2 linked regions of the Neodiprion lecontei genome follow. The protein of the gene in region 1 purifies or fractionates together with the protein of each later gene. This does not show direct contact. Links are inferred from orthologs where the notes say so. Each region holds a gene or a part of one and is shown on either strand. Other genes may lie near its edges.

Evidence for each region.
Region 2: the proteins of intraflagellar transport protein 43 homolog (region 1) and intraflagellar transport protein 140 homolog purify together in Homo sapiens (affinity purification with mass spectrometry; 3 studies listed by BioGRID and IntAct, counting the BioPlex papers as one, with this or other methods). This does not show direct contact. The link is inferred for Neodiprion lecontei from reciprocal best matches to the Homo sapiens genes IFT43 and IFT140.

Annotation. Positions count from the first base shown.
Region 1 is NC_060262.1:41,937,049-41,941,266, reverse strand, and holds intraflagellar transport protein 43 homolog, read left to right. Parts: upstream 1-2,180; 5' UTR 2,181-2,263; coding exon 2,264-2,302; intron 2,303-2,465; coding exon 2,466-2,665; intron 2,666-2,847; coding exon 2,848-2,877; intron 2,878-2,929; coding exon 2,930-2,982; intron 2,983-3,116; coding exon 3,117-3,189; intron 3,190-3,398; coding exon 3,399-3,621; 3' UTR 3,622-3,716; downstream 3,717-4,218. Other genes in the region: uncharacterized protein LOC124293645, read left to right, coding at 759-1,107, 1,251-1,350. UniProt on the Homo sapiens protein: As a component of IFT complex A (IFT-A), a complex required for retrograde ciliary transport and entry into cilia of G protein-coupled receptors (GPCRs), it is involved in ciliogenesis.
Region 2 is NC_060261.1:8,581,868-8,587,066, reverse strand, and holds the start of intraflagellar transport protein 140 homolog, read right to left. Parts: upstream 3,049-5,199; 5' UTR 2,921-3,048; coding exon 2,627-2,920; intron 2,562-2,626; coding exon 2,155-2,561; intron 2,092-2,154; coding exon 1,896-2,091; intron 1,794-1,895; coding exon 1,560-1,793; intron 1,473-1,559; coding exon 1,260-1,472; intron 1,179-1,259; coding exon 990-1,178; intron 1-989. Other genes in the region: hexosaminidase D, read right to left, coding at 3,678-3,852, 3,975-4,061, 4,131-4,406, 4,538-4,733, 4,858-4,932, 5,131-5,199. UniProt on the Homo sapiens protein: Component of the IFT complex A (IFT-A), a complex required for retrograde ciliary transport and entry into cilia of G protein-coupled receptors (GPCRs).

The sequences.
Region 1 (4,218 bases):
TCCCAAGTCGATCTCTCCGATTTCATTTCTTTGGTAATATGTCATAGTAGACTAAAAACTAACCGACACGTATTTTTTATTATTTTATTTTTATCGGCCAAAAAATACTTTAAAGTGGTGAAAACGACCCCCAAAGACGGGAAACGAACGGGATGATTGTTTGATGTGTTCGAATGAAACCAACGCTGAAATGGTTCATTCGTCAGCGTTGGTTACATTCGCATACACCTAACGCATCAAGAAATCACCCCGTTGGGTGCCCATCTTTGGGGGTCGTTTTTATCCCCTTGAAGTGTTCTTTGGCCGATAAAAAAAATACGTTTCGCTTGGTTTTCTAGTCTACTGTAACATATTAAAAAATAAGTCATATTGAAGAAATCGACCTGCGATACCTTTCTTGTGCGCGATCGCATTGCTTCAAACTTTGAGAAACTGTAGGGTTTATAATCCCGCTTCTGTGGTCGCTATTTGTGTAAAGAGAGGTTTGGAAGTTTGATATAAAAAAACGCAAAAGATACGAAGTTCAATTTGTACAAACTAGCGTCAGTAAAATAACTTCAAAGCAAGCGAAAATCGTCTACAAGTATAATACTTACGCAATTTCCATTAATTTTTCGAATTCCCCTCAACGATTTTTCAAAGTGCGGAACGATTTCATTACTCGGGAAAGAGGAAAAGATACGAAGTACTATTTGCTTGCTCACTCTATACTCCGACATCCCCGTAAGTTGAAATCATGGAGAAGCGTTGTGTTTTAGGACCCCTCGTGTTGCCAGCCTGTCCCTGTCACTATCCCAGCAGTATTTTTTACGACGATAAGATTTGGGACCAGGGACAAGAGAGGTACTTCCGCTGGCGAGATGTCAGCGGTGAAGCGGAAAGACTCGACGTCTACAAGCCTGGAGCAACCTACTGCATCCGGTCCTTGTTGGTGCAAGGTGGAGGCAGCGCAGCCGCCCAGCACTGCTGCTACGATGGGAAAAGGAGACTTTTGACCAGAGGTTCCGGTGCTGGAACTCCAAACCTCGTCAGCCCCGAAGTATCCGGTGTTTTGCACGAGAGAATCGATATCCTTCCTTGGAGGCTTTGCAAGGGAGATTTCTCTAGGTTCGAAGATATTTTTCTGTAACCTCCCTAAACTGGAGGGGTAATACGCTACGATTGAAAATCGAAGTCCTGTTTCTCATTATCTGGAAATATGAAGTATTTTTTAAATATTTAAACTCACGTGTGTATGTTTAATCTTTCAGATTCAACAAAGTGCGACCACCAAACAATGACAACCAATGCAAGGGTAACCCGGATGAAGAAGAATATCAACGACAAATCAATGAAACGAAACATTACTGAAGTACAATACGAACCAAACATCTGCATATACAATAATGTAGCTTTAACTCGAAACAATTAAAAATACTAGTGATATATTAAACTATTACATGTTTTAATGTATCTGGCACATCCAGTGTTAAAAACCTTCAACAGTGTAATAATTTTTAAGTGTATTTTTGTGTAGTTTTATGCAAGTTCGTGTAGAGGTTAAAAAAAATGTATACATCCTTGTGCACTTTTCCTTTTTCACCAGTCGGTGAAAATGTAACGCAGGTGAGTGTGCACAAAGGATGATATTTAAAATAGAAAATCTTACACCACATCGTATATGGTATTTGTTAACATAATTAGGCTTTCCAGTATTTAAAAAAAAATGGAAACCTGTTTCCACCGTTGGACACGTTGTGTGATTTGCAGAATGAAGGGAATTTTAATAACATTGAAAATTCCGATATCACTTCACTGATCGCATTGGAAACTTTTCCGTCTTTAAAGTTTCACCAAAATCTTATGGAGTAGGTACTTTTAACATCATTGCGTCAACAAACTTTGATTACCTTAAACATCTACGCCGAAATCTCTCGGAGCCCCTTGATCCGCGCCTAGTTTACCTCGTAAATGAATGCGGCCCTGACTCTAACAATGAGATACAATCAGAGGTGTACCTACCTACCTACCTTCCTCGGTTCTTATTCGAATGGGAAACCGGTTCGAGTGAAGGAAGTCACGTGACAGCCCGAAGCACTCCGCGTCTATACCAAAGCAACACCGAAGCACCAGCGACGGCGCAGGGACGCTCGGAGAACCAGTGAAAGAGAGTTGCCATGGATACCGCTTACAAACAGAAGGTAAGTCTATTCCGTTTCGATAAAATTTCACCTAGGAGCCATCAGTGTTTACCGTGAATCCCGTGAATTATACTCAGAGTACCATGGACTGGGGAATGGAGCTAGAAGTTACCTCGAAAAAGGTATAGAGCCGCGGAGAACGCGACATGTAATCAATGGCTCGTTGTCGACGAGCGAGCGGTCGCAGGATTCTAATCTACGTTGTTTCATTATTCGCGGTTGAATAATCCGGCCGTCATTCTTCGCTGAATGTCCCTGTAAATAATCAAATCTCCGTATCCTCAGCTGCTACCTCGCCTAGGCCGGAGAGCTGGACAATCTAGTAACCTGCAGGAGGAGCTCAAGTCGGACGAGGAATTACTCGACAGCCCGATATCACCGTCTTCCGAGCAATCGGCGAGGACGATAGCCGGAGGCCATCAACCCGTGGCACCGCCGCGTTCGCGGAAGACAGGCTGGGCCGACGAATTTAAAAGTGGCGGGAAGTACGTTGACGGAAACTGAAAGCTTCCGCTTTCGCTGATCGTTTTAAAAATGGAAATTGCCGAAAGCAGTTTGAATGTCATTCGTAAGACTAGAGTTCGGGGGAAGATCGGATCAGTGCGTAAGATTATAGCCGTCGATTGTTCTGATCAGACTGTTGATCGGAACGTTTTTTTATTTACAGGATGAAGAGCACCATCAATATAATAGAACAGTGAGTAAATCGTAGTAGAAGTAACGAATCAGGCATCTCTAGTCACTAATAGATTATTCCTTAGGGAGCGTTTTCGCGGGGTGGACAAAGATGAACCAGAAGATGGTAAATTAATTTTTGTTTACCCTTCTTGCTCATCTGTTACATAAAATAAGGATCTTTATTTCATCAATTTGTCACATTTGTATCGTATTATTTCCTACAATTATACGTAATACTATAGCGCAAATTACTTGCAGAAATACCGGTCATACCGGACTTGGACGAGATTCAGGAGGATAACTTCTTGAGCGAAATTGCAAACACACATTTGTAAGTCATTGATAATATTTTTTCTACGATACGCGTGTCGGAATAAGTTATTTTAATTATATCTGTGTTGTAACTGGTCTATTCTTCGTTTGCCTTTAAAGTTTTAGTTTTAGAGAATTACAAACTAAGCAATTTACAGTTATCATTGAAATTCGTAAAAAAATAATATCTTACGGAGGTAAATATTTTAATATATCTTTGCGTTGCAGAGGTGGTGTGAACCGAGTGGAAACGTACAAAGAGCTCGACACGGATCTGTATAAAAGTACAGCTCTATCGTCGCTCGACGACGTGAACCTGTCATTACTAACGGAAAAATTATATCCAGATAAATTAGTACGTGAACCAGACGAAGTGTGGAACTGGGATTTATCGTTTACACAGATCGCGTCTGAAATAAATAGCGAGAAGCAAAACGAGGTTAAATCCTAACTAAAAACTGTTCGAATAATATAATTATCATTTATGACTTATGTAATAGTACAATTAGACATTTCCATCAATAAAGTTATTTTTATACGTATGTACGTTTTCACCACATCCCTTCATTGAACATGATGTTGTCCGTAATTGTTTGGAAAAATTGAATAAAAAACATGGCAAACTGCGTCCGCAGTGCCTGTATATGGAAGCGACAAATTACCTCGTCTGACCTATTCGATTGCCCCCCAATTTGGAAATCGCGGTAGTTCGAGGAGCCACGTGAGGACTCAACCGTGCCGGCGCACAGGGCAAATGTACGCGCAATCGGGAGTCGTACACAAGCTACTTGAAGCGACCACGTGACAACACCCACTGAGCAGATCTGCCTTTGTCTAACGTTAGCGATCAATGTTCAGCTGTGCCATCACTAGCACACACTTCCGTTGGACAATTTCGCGTTGCTCTGTTTTATAGTAATCGTCAAATGCATCTACCACTTGCGAGAAATTCAAGAATCGTCTGGAAGAACTCTGGCAATGTTACGAAAAGATGTCATCCTTGAAGTTTTGCGGGGAATTCAACAAAAGCCATAAGATTATAAAGACA
Region 2 (5,199 bases), on another chromosome or scaffold:
ATCAAAATACAGCGACATTATGAAATGCTCTCCAATTTAATCGTGGCGTTTGAATTACCCAAATCGGCTCAAGGCAAACGAGGGTCTGAAATTATTTCAGTATCAGATGTAACACTAAATGTAAGCATTTTCGTGAAACTACGATAGGTTAGATCACAACCGGCGCCTAATATCGACTGATTCGGTCTAGAAGCTCTGATATCAATGACAAAATTTACGGTTTTTCAAACGTTCTAAGCTCGCTTTGGTTGTTTCTCGATAACGAATTCATAGCAAAATCAATTGTGTATCGATCGTTTGACATTTCGTGTAAACAAACACTTGACGTAGAAATAGTTAGTCAAGTTTTGTTACAATTGAGCACGTATACGGGATTAAAATTCGTTAATTATTCAACAGATCGACAGATTTATTTAGCAGTTTTTTTTTTCTTAAACCAAGAGTTCCCTCGGTTCTTTTTTACTTGATTTTTCTAGAATTCTACTAGTTTCCTATTTGATCGAAAACGCGCATGGCGGATTTTCACTGCAAGGAAGAAAATTTGGGTCATTTGGGTCACCTAACTGTCAACAAGCGATTCATTTAGAATGCATCATACATTTCCCAAAATAAAGAACATTCAACTTATTTAGTTATATGTATTTTAACAAAAATTGCAAATAGTAAATTCTTATTTATGTATGTTGAAGTTTAATTTTTTCCAACCTTTTGAAATATCTTTATATTCATTTACTCGGTGTCGAATTTCAATTTCAGTTAAAATATAGCATTTCGTTTATTATAAAATGTTGATAAGAATTTCACGATACAAACAAATTTACCTTCAAAAATGAATTACAATATCAACCGACGACATTTAAAGTACTTAGGTAAAACACGCGGGCTCTGATTCTAGCACCCTCATTTTCTGAAAGGAATCATAAATTTTCGTAAGCAAACAGGAGAATATATTATTTTATACAAGCGTGAAAATCACTATTACATTTTACCTTGAGATAATTTTGCCTTTGGTTGCCAGCACTCGCATCTGCGGCAGCCAACAGTGATCTGTAACGTTCTTCCAAGCTTTCAACTAGACTGTCTAGCTCGCACTGTTTTTCCGAACTCAGTGACATCGATAATTCACTACGCTGACCCTGGAGTTGTAGCTGCAAGGCTTTAACTTCGTTTTCTTTATCCTGATATGCAAATAATTGTGTAGGCAACTTGTAAAAAATATCTCAAAAGAGGGTAAAATGTATTTCGGAAATAATATGCACCTTTAAAATATGATAAATGCGCTTCTCATATTCATGGCTCATTCGTTCTTTAGTTTTTTCCAATTTTAAAATGCCTTTTTTTAAACTGGCCACTTTATTGATAAGGTTTTGATTCTGCTTTTGATTCGCCGCTTCCATATTTGCCCTCATTTTATTAAATTCGCGCTGGATTGTTGAGCACTGCTCAGTAACAATAGCTTTCAATTTAGCTTCCTGTGAAAAAATACGGTCATTGTGCGGCGTTATTGAAACATAAGAAACGTATGATTCAGATAAAAAATTCATGAACTGCGAACATACTTCATCTTTTTTTGCCTCCAAGTTCTTCTGTAGCCCATCAATCTCCGTTTTCAGTTTTTCAATTTCAGCATTTTTATTTAACTCAATCAATGCCAATTCTTCCTCTTTCCGACTGATCACTGTATCTTTCTTTTGCAGTTCCTCATCCTTCTGTTTGATTAAGTGTTCGTGCTGCTGTCGTGCAGCTTCCAATTTTTCAGAGCAACTACTTTCTACTGCACACAGTTCTTCATCCTTTGATTCAAACATCATGTATACATTGTAGATTTTGAAATAGAACTAGAAATTCTGTTAGCTTGTCACTACTTGCCAACAAAGAGTAATACGCAGTCGTACCTTTGCCCTAGTAATTTTTTCCAAATTGGCAGTCAGCTCAACAATATTATTTTCCAAGGTACTATTCTTACATTGGAATTCTTGCAGTTGCATATTCAACTCTGTAATTTTTTCATCCATACTTTGCTTACATTGCAGGAGGGCTTCCTCATTGCTTGCCTCAAGAGAATCCTTCATTTTTTTTACTTCCATTAGTCTAGAGATGAGAAAATTGATGATTCATATTAGACATAGCTTATTACCGGATTTTGTTACCCACTTGGCTTTCAACGTTCCAATTTCTGCCGATAATTGTTTGATAGTAGCGTGAAGGTGAGGCACTTCCTTTGCAGTAGAATTTTGTTGCAAACGATTTAGTTCTTGATTTAAACGTTCATTTTGTATCTGCAGTTCTTTCACAATAGTGGTCAAGGTCTCTATCCTTTGTTCGTAAATTGCGATTTGATTTTTGTCCGCTTTACTTCCCTCGTAGCATCGAGATGCACTGATATTCTTTGTGATGTGACCGCAACGACCAGTACTGGTCGAATCAGTGTCACGTTTTTGGTTTGGTATTTTACTCCTGGTGAACTGGCATTGAATGCTCTTTGCATAATTCTTTGGCCATCCGCAATATGGGATTGTGCTCGCATCTGATAACTCGCTCCACGAGGAACTTCCGTGTACCTAAATTTCGTTCAAATATTCTTTGTCACACTCTGTTTTAAACCACTTCACTTCAGATACTGTACCATTGGAGTATACGATCTCCTTAACACTGGCAGAGGTCCATTTGGCGGCGGTTGGCTAAACATCCCACCTACATGTCCAGATTCCACTTGACAGCATAGTTCCATCAGATACTCATTCCTGAGTGCACGTTGCGTGGAGGCATAGCTCAGTTTATCCAACCAAAGCCGGCAGAGCTGCACATCTTCAGGCGCTGTGAGGGCTAAAATGTAAGGTCTAACTCGAGCCAAAGAATCCTTGAACTGCTCATCCAGCTTGAGTGCCTCCTGTTCATCGCGTTCCCTTGGTCTGGACATTTCTAATACCTAATACTCCATAAAACATATAAATGTACTCCAAATGATAGGCACTTTTAATTACATTATTTTATCAAATGCTTGAATTAAGCTTAAACTTTCTGAATTCATTTAATTTCTCCAATTTATACATTTTCATATTTTATTGTGTGTTTTCTTGACAGCTAATAAATTAATGTATGAGTATATGAATGTATACATGAATGTATGTATGTATGTACATACATTCGATATTGTCATTGTTTTTCGTATAACCATTACGATATGAAATTAACAGACTAGAATTGAGTTAGTTCACCGAGTATTTGCTACAAGTTTGTGGGCATTTTCGAAAGATTGATCTAAAATTTGACAGACACATCAAAGGATATAAAAAGATTTTAGAAGTTCGAAAGTCTGCCTACTTTTATTCCAGAAAAATATGCAGGTCTAAGATTGACGATATAATTTTGACACCCTTGCATATCGAAATACTGTGCTATCGTTTGTTTATGATTATGTTCAGCAAACTCGGTGGCATATTTCTTAATTACAAATCCAGTTTATTACCCCTCTCATAATTACATGGCACGTTTAATACTTATAATATATCACGTTCAAGCATTGATTCGGCCAGTTTTAATTAATTCTGTACAACTTATTAGCCGCTAAAATTCATTGAATGAATTTGATATTTGGTTGTCTTTTTACTTTGAAGCACCTCAAGTGATTGTGTTGCCCAATTCCAATAAAATTCGTCAAGAGGTACAATTAATCTTCACACCCTGCAGCCGTGTTTCAACTGATTCTCTGCATCTTGTTTTAGTTGTTTCAATCTATTCTTCAGGGGATAAATATGTGTACCAGTCCATTCTTCCAGGGTCGGTTGAAACAAAATAACTTCCATTTGAACTCGGATATAGCCCTCCAGCGATGATAATTCCAACAACAAACTGAAATTTTATGAAAACATAGAGAACTAATACGTCACATCCAAAATACATTGAGTGCTTTCGATTGAACTTAACACCAGTTGGAAAATGTGCACTAAAATACTTAGGCAAACAATACTGACTCGCTCAAAGCCGTCACCAAACTCCCCAATTGCATAGGATTTGTATAGTTGTTTGCAATTTGCCAAGGATTCATCCATGTTGCTATTCTGTTGAGGAATTGGCATATTTTTAGAACAGACCTTGATAATGTACAAGTACAAATATTCTGCCCTTACTGATCGCTATCAACGACATGGTGAAACTTGGTTCTGAAGTTAAGGAACCATTCGATTCCTACTGCAAGCTGCCATCCAGGGAATAACAATTTGTTTGGTATGGGAGCTGGTCGCTGTTGCGGCACTATGTGGAGTGGATGGTCTACATAGCCCAAGCTTTTAGCTACTTCTAGGTGTCTTTCTTCGGAATATCCGTGCAGCCAGACTTTTAAGCACATCACCAGAGATGGTATTGCTGTTGGCAGGAGCTCGCACATTGTGGCATAGTGATCATATCTGAAATACATTACACAGACTGTTCAGCATAATTTTAACTATAGTCTTGGTGGTGAACAAGTAAAGAAAAACAATCGACTGATATTATTCATATATATAGGTGATAATAAAATAAGCAAAACGGCACATGCCTCGACCATCCGGTGAATGCAGTTCCACGGAATTCACAAACTTTGTTGACATGAGTACTCAACTCTTCTAACCATCGTTCGTGGTTACTTATATGATGTTGAATCACGGGTATGTGTTGACAGGATCCGGTAGCACCTTTAAAAGCTGTTGCAGCCCAGATATTTGAAAATATAACACTATATTTGTCCCATAAACCTGAAAGTTGATTACATAAGTGTCTGTGTAATGCTTACAATGTTATTTAACTCACAATAAATAGATTCAAAACATTCAGGAAATTTGCTATCGGCTCTACATACATCATTCGAAAAGTACTAACCTACTGGCAAACAAAAAGTCTCTCTGGAATTATAATGCCATATCATTGGTTCAACATATTTTCCAATATAATGTTCTGAAATGATAAAAGTATATTAAGTAGAGGATATTACACATTGTCTATGCTAAACACAAGATAAACTCAAAGCATGCTAATGATTCTGTAATAGAAGGTTCTGTATTGATGATAATTGGCTTAAAATTTTTCTCATGACGTTGAATACTAACAAACTAGGTAAATAAAGTAGTATTTATATCTTAGATACGTACGCACCATTTAAGACCTGTACGTCTATGTTTCTCAACATATCGTCCCAAATGATAACTTTTAAATACGGATATG